2 linked regions of the Schizosaccharomyces pombe genome follow. The protein of the gene in region 1 interacts with the protein of each later gene in a biochemical or structural test. Each region holds a gene or a part of one and is shown on either strand. Other genes may lie near its edges.

What was found.
Region 2: the proteins of lys1 (region 1) and lys7 form a complex in vitro, tested with the Schizosaccharomyces pombe proteins (one study listed by BioGRID).

Annotation. Positions count from the first base shown.
Region 1 is NC_003424.3:3,738,302-3,745,411, reverse strand, and holds lys1 (aminoadipate-semialdehyde dehydrogenase), read left to right. Parts: upstream 1-1,962; 5' UTR 1,963-1,990; coding exon 1,991-6,250; 3' UTR 6,251-6,305; downstream 6,306-7,110. Other genes in the region: rpl1002 (60S ribosomal protein L10), read right to left, coding at 583-1,248; conjugation protein Prm1, read right to left, coding at 6,306-6,907, 6,948-7,110. UniProt on the Schizosaccharomyces pombe protein: Catalyzes the activation of alpha-aminoadipate by ATP-dependent adenylation and the reduction of activated alpha-aminoadipate by NADPH.
Region 2 is NC_003424.3:4,495,130-4,498,948, reverse strand, and holds lys7 (alpha-aminoadipate reductase phosphopantetheinyl transferase Lys7), read right to left. Parts: upstream 2,225-3,819; 5' UTR 1,980-2,224; coding exon 1,917-1,979; intron 1,881-1,916; exon of another isoform or gene 1,874-1,880; coding exon 1,160-1,873; 3' UTR 818-1,159; downstream 1-817. Other genes in the region: nuc2 (anaphase-promoting complex TPR lobe subcomplex subunit Apc3), read right to left, coding at 1-191, 298-468, 514-817; tif471 (translation initiation factor eIF4G), read left to right, coding at 2,645-3,819. UniProt on the Schizosaccharomyces pombe protein: Catalyzes the transfer of a 4'-phosphopantetheine moiety from coenzyme A to a serine residue of acceptor proteins, such as alpha-aminoadipate reductase. Necessary for alpha-aminoadipate reductase activity.

The sequences.
Region 1 (7,110 bases):
TGTACACCAAAAGTTGTAAATAATGGTACTGAGCAAAACCAGTGTTTGGATCGAAAATAAGCAAAGAAATCAGGGATAATCATAATAAAACACCTTTTCATCTCGATTTAAAAAGACAAAATTGACAATTCCATAAAATTTTTTCATAAAAAAAGTCATTTTGCGTACTTTAACCCAGCGAATATGCGTCCTTTGGCCGAAATAACTCCGTGGAAGTAGATGCGGAGTTTTAACGCCAAGTAATAGATTTGTTGAGAAAAAAATTTAGTCTTAATAGCTAAAATTTGCCCCACAATTAACTACATGGGATGCTTGAGTTGCTGGTCGTTTTAAAAATTGCCTATTTCAACTTGGTAGTCGGTTAAATTGTTACCCCCAAGTTGATATTATTTGGCTATTATCTCTACAAGTGCTGGTTAAAATCGACTTACTTGAAATAGAGGGATGATAAACAATCAACAACAAAAAAATACAACTTCCTGAAATGCAATACCTCAGTCAATTTACCGATTCATCCAACACCAAACTGTTTGAACAGTTCTATACAAAGTGAAAAGTTTCACAAAAATTTTATTAAACTTTTTAAGCAAGGTTGAATGAAGCTTCAGGGAAGAGGTCCAACTTCTCTTGGAGGCTACCACGCTTATTCAAGAACTTGGCGTAGCAACCGTCGGGAATAATTTCACCACGGCTGCGCTTTTCAATGTACTCATCACGAGCATATTGAGAGAAACCCCATTTCTTAGAGACAATGATTCTCTGTTGACCGGGGAACTTGTATTGACAACGGCGAAGGGCTTCAATGGCAGTAGCACGGCTAGAATCCTTGGTACGGACAGACATCAAAACTTGACCGATGTTTACACGGGCGACCAAACCATTGGGCTTACCAAAGGCGTGACGCATACCGGTTTGCAATCTATCGGCACCGGCACATGAAAGCATTTTGTTGATACGAACAACATGGAAGGGGTGTGCACGGACACGAAGGTGGAAACTATCCTTACCACCAATCTTGACCAAGTACTTGTTGGCACAGATACGAGCAGCTTCAAGAGCTTCTGAGGTGATTTGCTCGTATTCGTTAGAGACCAAGTGGATGCAAAGAGGGAACTCGTCAACACCAGCACGCTTACGACCCAAGTCGAAAATACGAATCTTGGAATCGGGAACGGCACGGTTGTAACGAGACTTGGGGTAAGGCTTATTCTTACAATAACGATAGCAGCGAGCAGGTCTACGTGCCATTGTGAAAAATGTGGTTCTGATTCAGGAAAGTAATTGAGAAAGACAGCACAACAAACTTTGGAAGAAAAAGCAGTCACCACTATAAACACAATTAAGTAACAATACACATATATTGTACCGGTACAGTATTATTATAATAATACAATAAATTTTTATAGTAAATTAGAGCTGTTTGGACATGTTATGTATATACTCTGCTCTAGCGTGTTTTTGGTTTTAGAAGGCGTATTTAAACATGTGGCTCAACGCTAAGCATTTTAGCAAAAATGCTTGTTGCCAATAATCAATTTAAAGTGAAATGTATCAGTATATACAATTCTATACCACATTTGATTTATTGAGTCATCTACAATACTGGCTTTGCACATCAAGCTTACTGACACGTAGGGTTGTTGATAATAAATACAAATATCGAAGAAATAAAATTGAAGACTAACTTTGTGATATGACACTTTGTACAAATGTTTATTATAAAATTAAATTATTATTATTATTTTGCACAATAGTTTAATAATTGCAATAATAAGCAGTACATTTGAATTTACAAAATATGTACGATAAATAACTTAAACACTAATTTGAAATGATATAACAAAAACAATTTCATTATTGGAGTATATTAAACATATGTTTTGGATTTTGTTTGTGAATGAAGATTATCAATTTATCATCTACAACGAAGGTTTTAGGCAGTTCGAACATTTGACACTCTCCGTTACCAACAACATATCATACTTTCAAAATGAGCCAGACGGCTCCAAGTGATACTGAGTACAATCAGCGTCTTGAACGATGGTCTGAGAGACTTAAGAGTCAAACAATTTCTCATCTTCCAACAGATTATAGTCGTCCCGTGCCTAGCAGACTCGTTGAAGCCGTGTTTGAACGAACACTTCCTGAGGATGCAAAAACAGCTCTTATTAAGGTTTATGTTGCTGCTCAAGCTAAAGGAATATTAGTAACTCCTTTCAATATTCTTTTGACGATTTTTATAATCCTCGTTAGTCGCATGACTGGAGATGAGGACATTAGCATCGGTACTAGTTCTGAGAATGCAATTCCATTCGTTTTGAGAACTTTCATTCAACCAAGCGATTCTTTTCTTGACCTTTTAGCCAAAGTGTGCGATCTGGAAAAGGAAGGCTCCTCTGATGCTGTAGATTTTTCTGATTTAATTAATTTTTTGAACGCTAAACTTTCTAAGAAAGATGACCCTCGTAAAACTCTTGTTCATCTTCGTTTTTACAATGCTCCAGACGCTCCTTCTGAAAACTTTCTTTCTACCACGGGATTAGATGTGGATTTGACTGTTCTGGTTTCGGTAAAAAAACCTTCTGATCAATTAACTTCTTTACGCTCCCAATTTACTTTCCCCGATTTACAATTGAAATTAATCTATAATCAGTTGTTGTTTTCTGAGAGTAGGGTTAATATTGTGGCTGATCAGCTATTAAAGTTAGTGGTTTCAGCTTCCAAAGATGTTACAGGTCCTATCGGTGCTCTGGACCTAATGACACCTACCCAAATGAATGTTCTTCCAGATCCAACTGTTGATCTTGATTGGAGTGGTTATCGTGGAGCCATTCAAGATATTTTCGCATCCAACGCTGCTAAATTCCCTGATAGAGAATGCATAGTAGTCACTCCTTCGGTCACAATTGATGCTCCTGTCACTAGTTACACGTATCGACAAATCGACGAGTCTTCTAACATCCTGGCTCACCATCTCGTAAAGAATGGAATTGAGAGGGGTGATGTAGTTATGGTTTATGCTTATCGAGGTGTGGATTTAGTTGTCGCGGTCATGGGTGTACTTAAAGCTGGTGCCACATTCTCAGTTATCGATCCAGCATATCCACCTGCTCGTCAGATTATATATCTGAGCGTTGCTAAGCCCAGAGCCTTAGTTGTTTTGGAAGATGCAGGTGTTTTGTCTCCCACAGTCGTAGAGTATGTTGAGAAAAGCCTTGAACTAAAAACTTATGTACCAGCTTTAAAACTTGCTAAAGATGGTTCTTTAACGGGAGGATCAGTCTCAAAAGGAGCTGACGATATCTTGCAACACGTTTTACACTTGAAGTCCGAACAAACTGGCGTTGTTGTAGGCCCTGATAGTACTCCCACACTTAGTTTTACTAGCGGAAGTGAAGGAATTCCTAAAGGTGTAAAAGGTAGACATTTCAGTCTTGCTTACTATTTTGATTGGATGGCTCAGGAATTTAATTTATCTGAATCAGACCGGTTTACGATGTTAAGTGGAATTGCTCATGATCCTATTCAAAGAGATATTTTCACACCACTTTTCCTTGGCGCATCCTTAATCGTACCCACTGCTGAAGACATTGGCACCCCTGGTCAATTAGCCCAATGGGCTAACAAGTATAAGGTTACTGTAACTCATCTCACCCCAGCTATGGGTCAACTGTTAGCTGCTCAGGCTGATGAGCCAATTCCTTCATTACACCATGCATTTTTTGTAGGTGATATTTTGACGAAACGTGATTGTCTTCGCTTACAAGTCCTTGCTAACAACGTTAACGTTGTTAACATGTATGGAACGACAGAGACTCAGCGTTCAGTTTCGTACTTTGTAGTACCTGCGCGGTCTCAAGATCAAACATTTTTGGAATCGCAAAAAGATGTCATTCCAGCCGGACGTGGCATGAAGAATGTCCAACTTTTGGTGATCAATCGTTTTGATACTAACAAGATATGCGGTATCGGAGAAGTTGGTGAAATATATCTTCGTGCTGGTGGATTGGCTGAGGGCTACCTTGGAAATGATGAATTGACTAGCAAAAAATTCTTAAAGAGTTGGTTTGCTGATCCCTCCAAGTTTGTAGACCGAACTCCAGAAAATGCGCCCTGGAAACCTTATTGGTTCGGAATACGCGATCGTATGTATCGTTCTGGTGACTTGGGCCGCTATCTCCCAACTGGTAATGTAGAATGTAGCGGTCGTGCCGACGATCAAATTAAAATTCGTGGTTTCCGAATTGAGTTAGGTGAAATTAATACCCATCTTTCTCGTCATCCTAATGTCCGTGAAAATATTACCCTTGTTCGACGTGATAAGGATGAAGAACCCACGCTAGTTGCATACATTGTACCTCAAGGTTTAAATAAAGATGACTTTGATAGCGCTACTGAGTCGGAAGATATTGTCGTCAATGGTTTGAAGAAGTACAGGAAGCTTATACATGATATACGGGAATATCTTAAGACTAAACTTCCTAGTTATGCTATTCCTTCTGTAATTGTTCCCCTTCATAAAATGCCTCTCAATCCTAATGGAAAGATAGATAAACCTGCTCTGCCTTTCCCAGACACATCACAACTTGCTGCCGCATCTCGTTCACATTCTAAACATGGAGTTGATGAAACTCTTACAGCCACTGAAAGGGATATACGTGATATCTGGTTGCGTATCATTCCACACGCTACTGATGTCAACAAAAAAGCAAGTTTCTTTGATATTGGAGGACATTCTATTTTAGCTACTCGCTTAATTTTTGAACTTCGCAAAAAATTTGCTGTGAATGTACCTTTAGGTTTAGTTTTCAGTGAACCTACTATTGAAGGTTTGGCCAAAGAGATTGAAAGAATGAAATCGGGTGAGATGATTAGCGTGATGGATATAGGCAAAGAAGAGACTAGAGAACCTGAAATTGAATATGGTAAAGATGCACTTGATTTAGTAGATTTAATTCCTAAAGAATTTCCAACCTCTAAAGACTTGGGTATTGATGAGCCAAAAACCGTTTTCTTAACTGGTGCTAACGGCTACCTTGGTGTCTTTATATTAAGAGACCTTATGACCAGAAGCTCTAACTTGAAAGTCATTGCCTTAGTCCGCGCCTCATCGGAAGAACATGGTCTAAAACGTCTTAAAGACAGTTGTACCGCGTATGGTGTATGGGATGAATCATGGGCCCAAAAAATTTCTGTTGTCAATGGTGATCTTGCTCTCGAAAACTGGGGTATAGAAGAAAGGAAATGGAACAAGCTTACTGAAGTCGTCGATTATGTTATTCATAATGGTGCCCTTGTACATTGGGTTTATCCATATTCTAAACTCAGAGGTCCTAATGTTATGGGTACAATTACTGCATTAAAACTTTGCTCTTTAGGAAAAGGTAAATCCTTGAGTTTTGTTTCATCCACATCAACTGTTGATACTGAGTATTACGTTAACCTTTCGAACGAAATTACTTCAAAGGGAGGAAATGGAATCCCAGAATCCGATCCTTTGCAAGGTTCTTCGAAAGATTTGCATACCGGTTACGGACAAAGCAAATGGGTATCTGAATATTTAGTAAGGCAAGCGGGATTACGTGGCCTTCGTGGTGTTGTTGTGCGTCCTGGATACATTTTAGGCGACTCCAAGTCTGGTGCTATTAATACCGACGACTTTTTGGTTCGAATGGTCAAAGGGTGCATTGAATTGGGTCTGTACCCGAACATCAATAATACTGTAAATATGGTTCCTGCCGATCACGTTGCTCGCGTGGTAACTGCCAGTGCTTTCCATCCCGAACAAGGAGTAATTGTTGCTCACGTAACTAGTCATCCCCGACTTCGTTTCAACCAATTCCTAGGAACTCTTTCCACTTTTGGCTTCAATACCAAGCTTTCCGAATACGTCAATTGGCGTATTGCTTTGGAGCGCTTTGTCATTAATGAGTCTCATGATAGTGCTTTGTATCCCTTACTTCACTTTGTGTTAGATAATCTTCCTGCTAATACAAAAGCTCCTGAATTAGATGATACAAACACACGTGAAATCTTGAAACGTGATGCATCTTGGACTAACGTGGATGTTTCTAATGGAGCTGCAATTTTGGAACATGAGATGGGCTTATATTTGTCATATCTGGTAGCTATTGGATTTTTGCCAAAACCTACTTTAGAAGGTAAAAAGCTTCCTGAAGTCAAAATAAATGAAGCTACTTTGGAGAAGCTTGCATCGGCTGGTGGTCGTGGAGGCGCTCCAACTCATTAGATTTATTAAGCAGTTAAATTATCCAAAATGAAAAATTTAGAATCTATGTAGACTTCTAATATCTATCCTGTTTTTCTTTCAATAAATATGTTGTCTCTTCACTTTCTGTTGTGATTGAGTTAAATTGTATATCTGAAATAATTGCCGGTGAGATGGGAATGTCAATAGCAAGGTCACTAGATAGGCTTATTAAACCCAAGGACCTTTTATAGTCTATGCAGTCATCTTCTTCATATTGAAAATTTTGGAAATCATAAACGTGCGATTCTCGGGGAGGAATAGGAGGAGGCCTACACGACTTCGTAACAGGAAAAGCTAACGATTGTACTGGTAAAGTAATGTTCTCCTTTGGATTTGGAATAACTAAATCTAGAAGGCTAAGGAATAATGATTTGAGCCAAGATGATAAAACACCAATTAAGCCGAATGCACAAATCAATAACCAAAGCAAAAAAAATAGGAAAGAAAAATTTAGCTCACTTATTACTGACTTTTCAACTCTATCAAAGATACCAGAGAAACTCACTGTGCTGTTTGATGAATTTAGTGAAGAATATAAAGAAGAATAGATAGTTTGGTTATCTATAGATTTGCTTAAAATATCAGTAGGTAAAAGAGGTAATTCAATATGGGATTTGTTATAAACCCAAGTCAAAACTATTGGTTAGATTAAATTTGAAAGACTAGTATAACAAACCTTCTTCAAAATTCTCAATTTTTCTGTAAAGCAAGCAATTCATAACATTTTGTACGGTACTTGCAAGAAAGGTGTCTCCAAACGCACTTGTCATTGACGAATTCAGTTCATTCATAAACGTATTCAGCGTAGAGTTCAAAGAAAGTGTAGTATTATGAATGGA
Region 2 (3,819 bases), 760 kb from region 1:
GTTTGAATAACTATTTGCTATCGATTCAGAAACCGAAAACTTGTTGGAAGATGAGGAAGACTCTTTACTTTTCTTCAAAAAAGACGGTTCTGGTACCGAAGCTGTAGCATTCGTTTGAGATTTTTCAAAACCCTTCATTGCCGTAAGGTAGGGTGGAATAACAAATACATTATTAGCATCGAGTGGCACGCCTATTCAGCAAAATATATTAGCACAATTATAGAAATAAACGAAAATAAGTATTTTTTTTTGACAAAAGTGAATTTACTAATTCACAACAAAACATCTGTCACATACCTATTGCAGTTAAATTCTGGAAAGCAGAGAAATTATATGGGTTAATGGAGACAGCTTCTACAAAACAATCTGTAGCTTTTTTGAGGAACCCTGCCTTTTTATACATAGTACCCAAAACATCAAGCATGCAAGAGGCATCTGGATGTCCACGACTGCTAATTGAGTCATTTACTAGATAACTTAGTTAGAGGTTTCGCGAAATAAATCACCACATACTGTTTGGCTGAATGGAGCGCCAATTCGATCGACAGGCCTCCACAGCACTTATTCCTTGTTTATATCTGCCTAAAATAAGGCTGGTCCTTGCAAATAAGTATGTGCAAGGAACATGACTAATTACTCTATCTAATAAGTCGTATACAATATTGTAATCGAGGTTTAGGAAATGCGAATATGCCAAAAGATACAAACTCTCGTTTGAATCTTCAATTGCATGTAAACGTTCTGAATAAAAAATTGAATTATCATAATTCTGATTATCAATGCAATACCATATTAAACATTTCAATCGATCTGTCATGACAAATCTATTAAAGTTTTGGAAACGATGGGAGTTAATGTCAACAAAAACATGTGGGTACAAACAGGTGGTTGTTATTGTTTGAGCTCCATCGTTAAGATATGTTAAATCTTATAAAGCAATGTAGCATTTTAGTAAAAAAAACATATAAACAAAAATAGGTAAATCATCTGGATGGTGTATAGAGTTGTGTAAACTCTGATAAATCCAAAAAGAGTTTGGGTAAATTATCAGAGAATAAAAAAACACTACTAATGCAACTCGATCCAAGCATTAAGGGAGACAGGCAAAGGAGGCATCACGGTCTAAAACAATGCGATGATACATGTTAATAAAAAAAAATTACAAGTCGTTCAATGTCTCCCAATTTAGATCCATTATTACGCAGTCTTGTGGAAAGGCGACACTGACGTAAAAAGTACTAGAGTGAAGTATTAGTTTATGAATTTCCAAGTCCCAAGAATATCCTGAATACACTGCAGTTGCTGCTCTTCTTAAAGACACTTCCTCGGAATTTAACAGCTCATTTAATTTATGAAATGTTACCACAATATCCAAAGGGTTTCCACTTAATCCGATACCGAGTGCTTTCAAAATCGCTTCTTTGCAAGTCCAGAGCAAAAAAAAAACATCAATACTAGAAATTGAACTTTTAATCAACTTCCATTCGCAAGGAGTAAATACACTCATGAAATCTTCCATCCATGATGCTTCAAAAGCTAACGGTTTACATTCGACGATGTCAACTCCAATATTGATCGGTCGCATTCCTGAAGGATCTGATGGAAGCCATGCTCCTACTACAATTACGATTCCCCCATAGTGGGATACATTAAAGTCAAATATAATAGGAGGACAGTGTGCTGATTGGCAATACGGTCTCCCGGCTTTTGTGACAGAAATTTGTACTTCATTTGGTGAACATTCGAGAGCCGTGGAGACTAAGTGCCTTTTAATAAGTATAGAAGCCAATGCCATTTTAGCATCCATGTCGAAATAGTACCTCTCAATTTGTTGTCGCTCAGAATCGCTCAGTTTTTTAAAACTGGGTATCCTCTAACGTATTAGAAAAATTGTTTAGATAAAACTAAAAACATACAGTTCTTTCAAAAGGCCATGCTTCTTGAGTATCTATTAATAACCTATATACTTTTTGTTTCATATATTGCTATTTAAATCGAATGAAATACTCTTCAATGAGAAACTACAATAAACAATGCCAGAATTTCCAGGAAACACAAAAACAAGAATCACTCATAAACTCGAAACCAACCAGAAGAAGAGTATAATTTCGTTAGAAGGCAATCAAGATAATTTCTACCAATAAATAGTAACATGAATTATGAAGCGTGACATTAACGCAAGTCGACAGTACTTTCCGAAAAAATATATTTTTTGTTCTACCTTGGAGAACAGCTTTTCTTTAATTTGCGAATATCTATTAACAGTCATAAAACGTGTTTATCGCAGAAGATTTAATTTCGTTAAATTTACTGATAGAACGTAAGCGGCACAATTTGAAGAGTTTGCTGCTTCGTTCTATTGCTTCTCTTGACCACCACCACTAACCCAACCACTTCAGTTGAAAATTTATTATCAACTCATCTGGAGGGTATTTTAATATTTAACGGAATACAGAACGTTACATTTGTTTGTCTTGTTCCGTTCCAATAATAATCTATAATTGGTGTTCTTTCTTTCAGTAGAAATAGGAAGAAAAGAACTCGGTTGTTGTATATAAAACAAACGAACTAATTTAAGGTTTTAATATTCGGTGGTCTCTTCAGTTTTATTACTTTGAATAATTGTAGATAAACGAAGAGTATAATGTCTTCAAAACCACCGTCAAATACTCCAAAGTTTAGTTATGCTCGTGCCTTGGCCAGCAGTCAATCCAATAAAAGCAATAGCACTAAAGCTTCAGAAAATAATACTGCAACTGCTGAAAAGCAGGCAGTAAAGCCTTCAGGGGTGGAGCCAACGAATACCTCTCGTGCTAATGCCCAAAAGAAAACAGAGTCCACTGGAAAGATTACTTCAGAGGCTGACACTGAAAAGTACAACTCAAGCAAATCTCCTGTCAACAAGGAAGGATCGGTGGAAAAAAAATCTTCTGAAAAATCTTCAACCAATAATAAGCCATGGCGCGGCGATAATACTTCAAAACCATCGGCCAATAGCTCTGCTGAACGAACGAGCTCACAGCATCAGAAGCCTGAAACTTCATCCCAAATTGGTAAAGACAATGCAGCTCCCGTGGAAAATGTAAATGAGAAATCTACCTCCCAAGAAACAGCACCTCCTGTATCCACTGTGCCAATTCAGTTTGGTTCGATTACCAGAAATGCGGCTATCCCTTCAAAACCAAAGGTTTCTGGTAACATGCAAAATAAGAGTGGCGTGTCTTCTTATAGTTCCAAAAGCCAGTCTGTTAACTCCTCGGTTACATCCAATCCTCCTCATACAGAAGAACCTGTTGCTGCTAAGCCGGAGGCTTCTTCAACCGCCACTAAAGGACCTCGTCCTACCACGAGTGCATCCAACACCAATACCTCTCCTGCTAATGGCGCACCGACTAATAAACCTTCAACCGATATCAATACCACTGATCCCGCCACCCAAACTACCCAAGTTTCAGCGTCCAACTCTCCTGCATTGTCAGGAAGTAGTACACCATCAAACACATCTTCTAGATCTAATCGTCAAAATCACGGAAACTTTTCCGAAAAGCGGCACTACGACCGTTACGGAAATTCTCATCCTTCTTACAATAAATATTCTCATTATCAGCATGGTTTTAATTATAATAACTCGGGAAATAATAGGAATGAGTCAGGGCATCCTCGTTTTCGAAACTCTAGGAGAAACTATAACAATCAAGGTGCCTATCCTACGTATATGTCTAATGGACGTAGTGCCAATCAAAGCCCTCGGAACAATCCCCAAAACGTAAACAATGGTAGTACACCAATTCAAATTCCAGTTTCTTTACAGACTCCTTA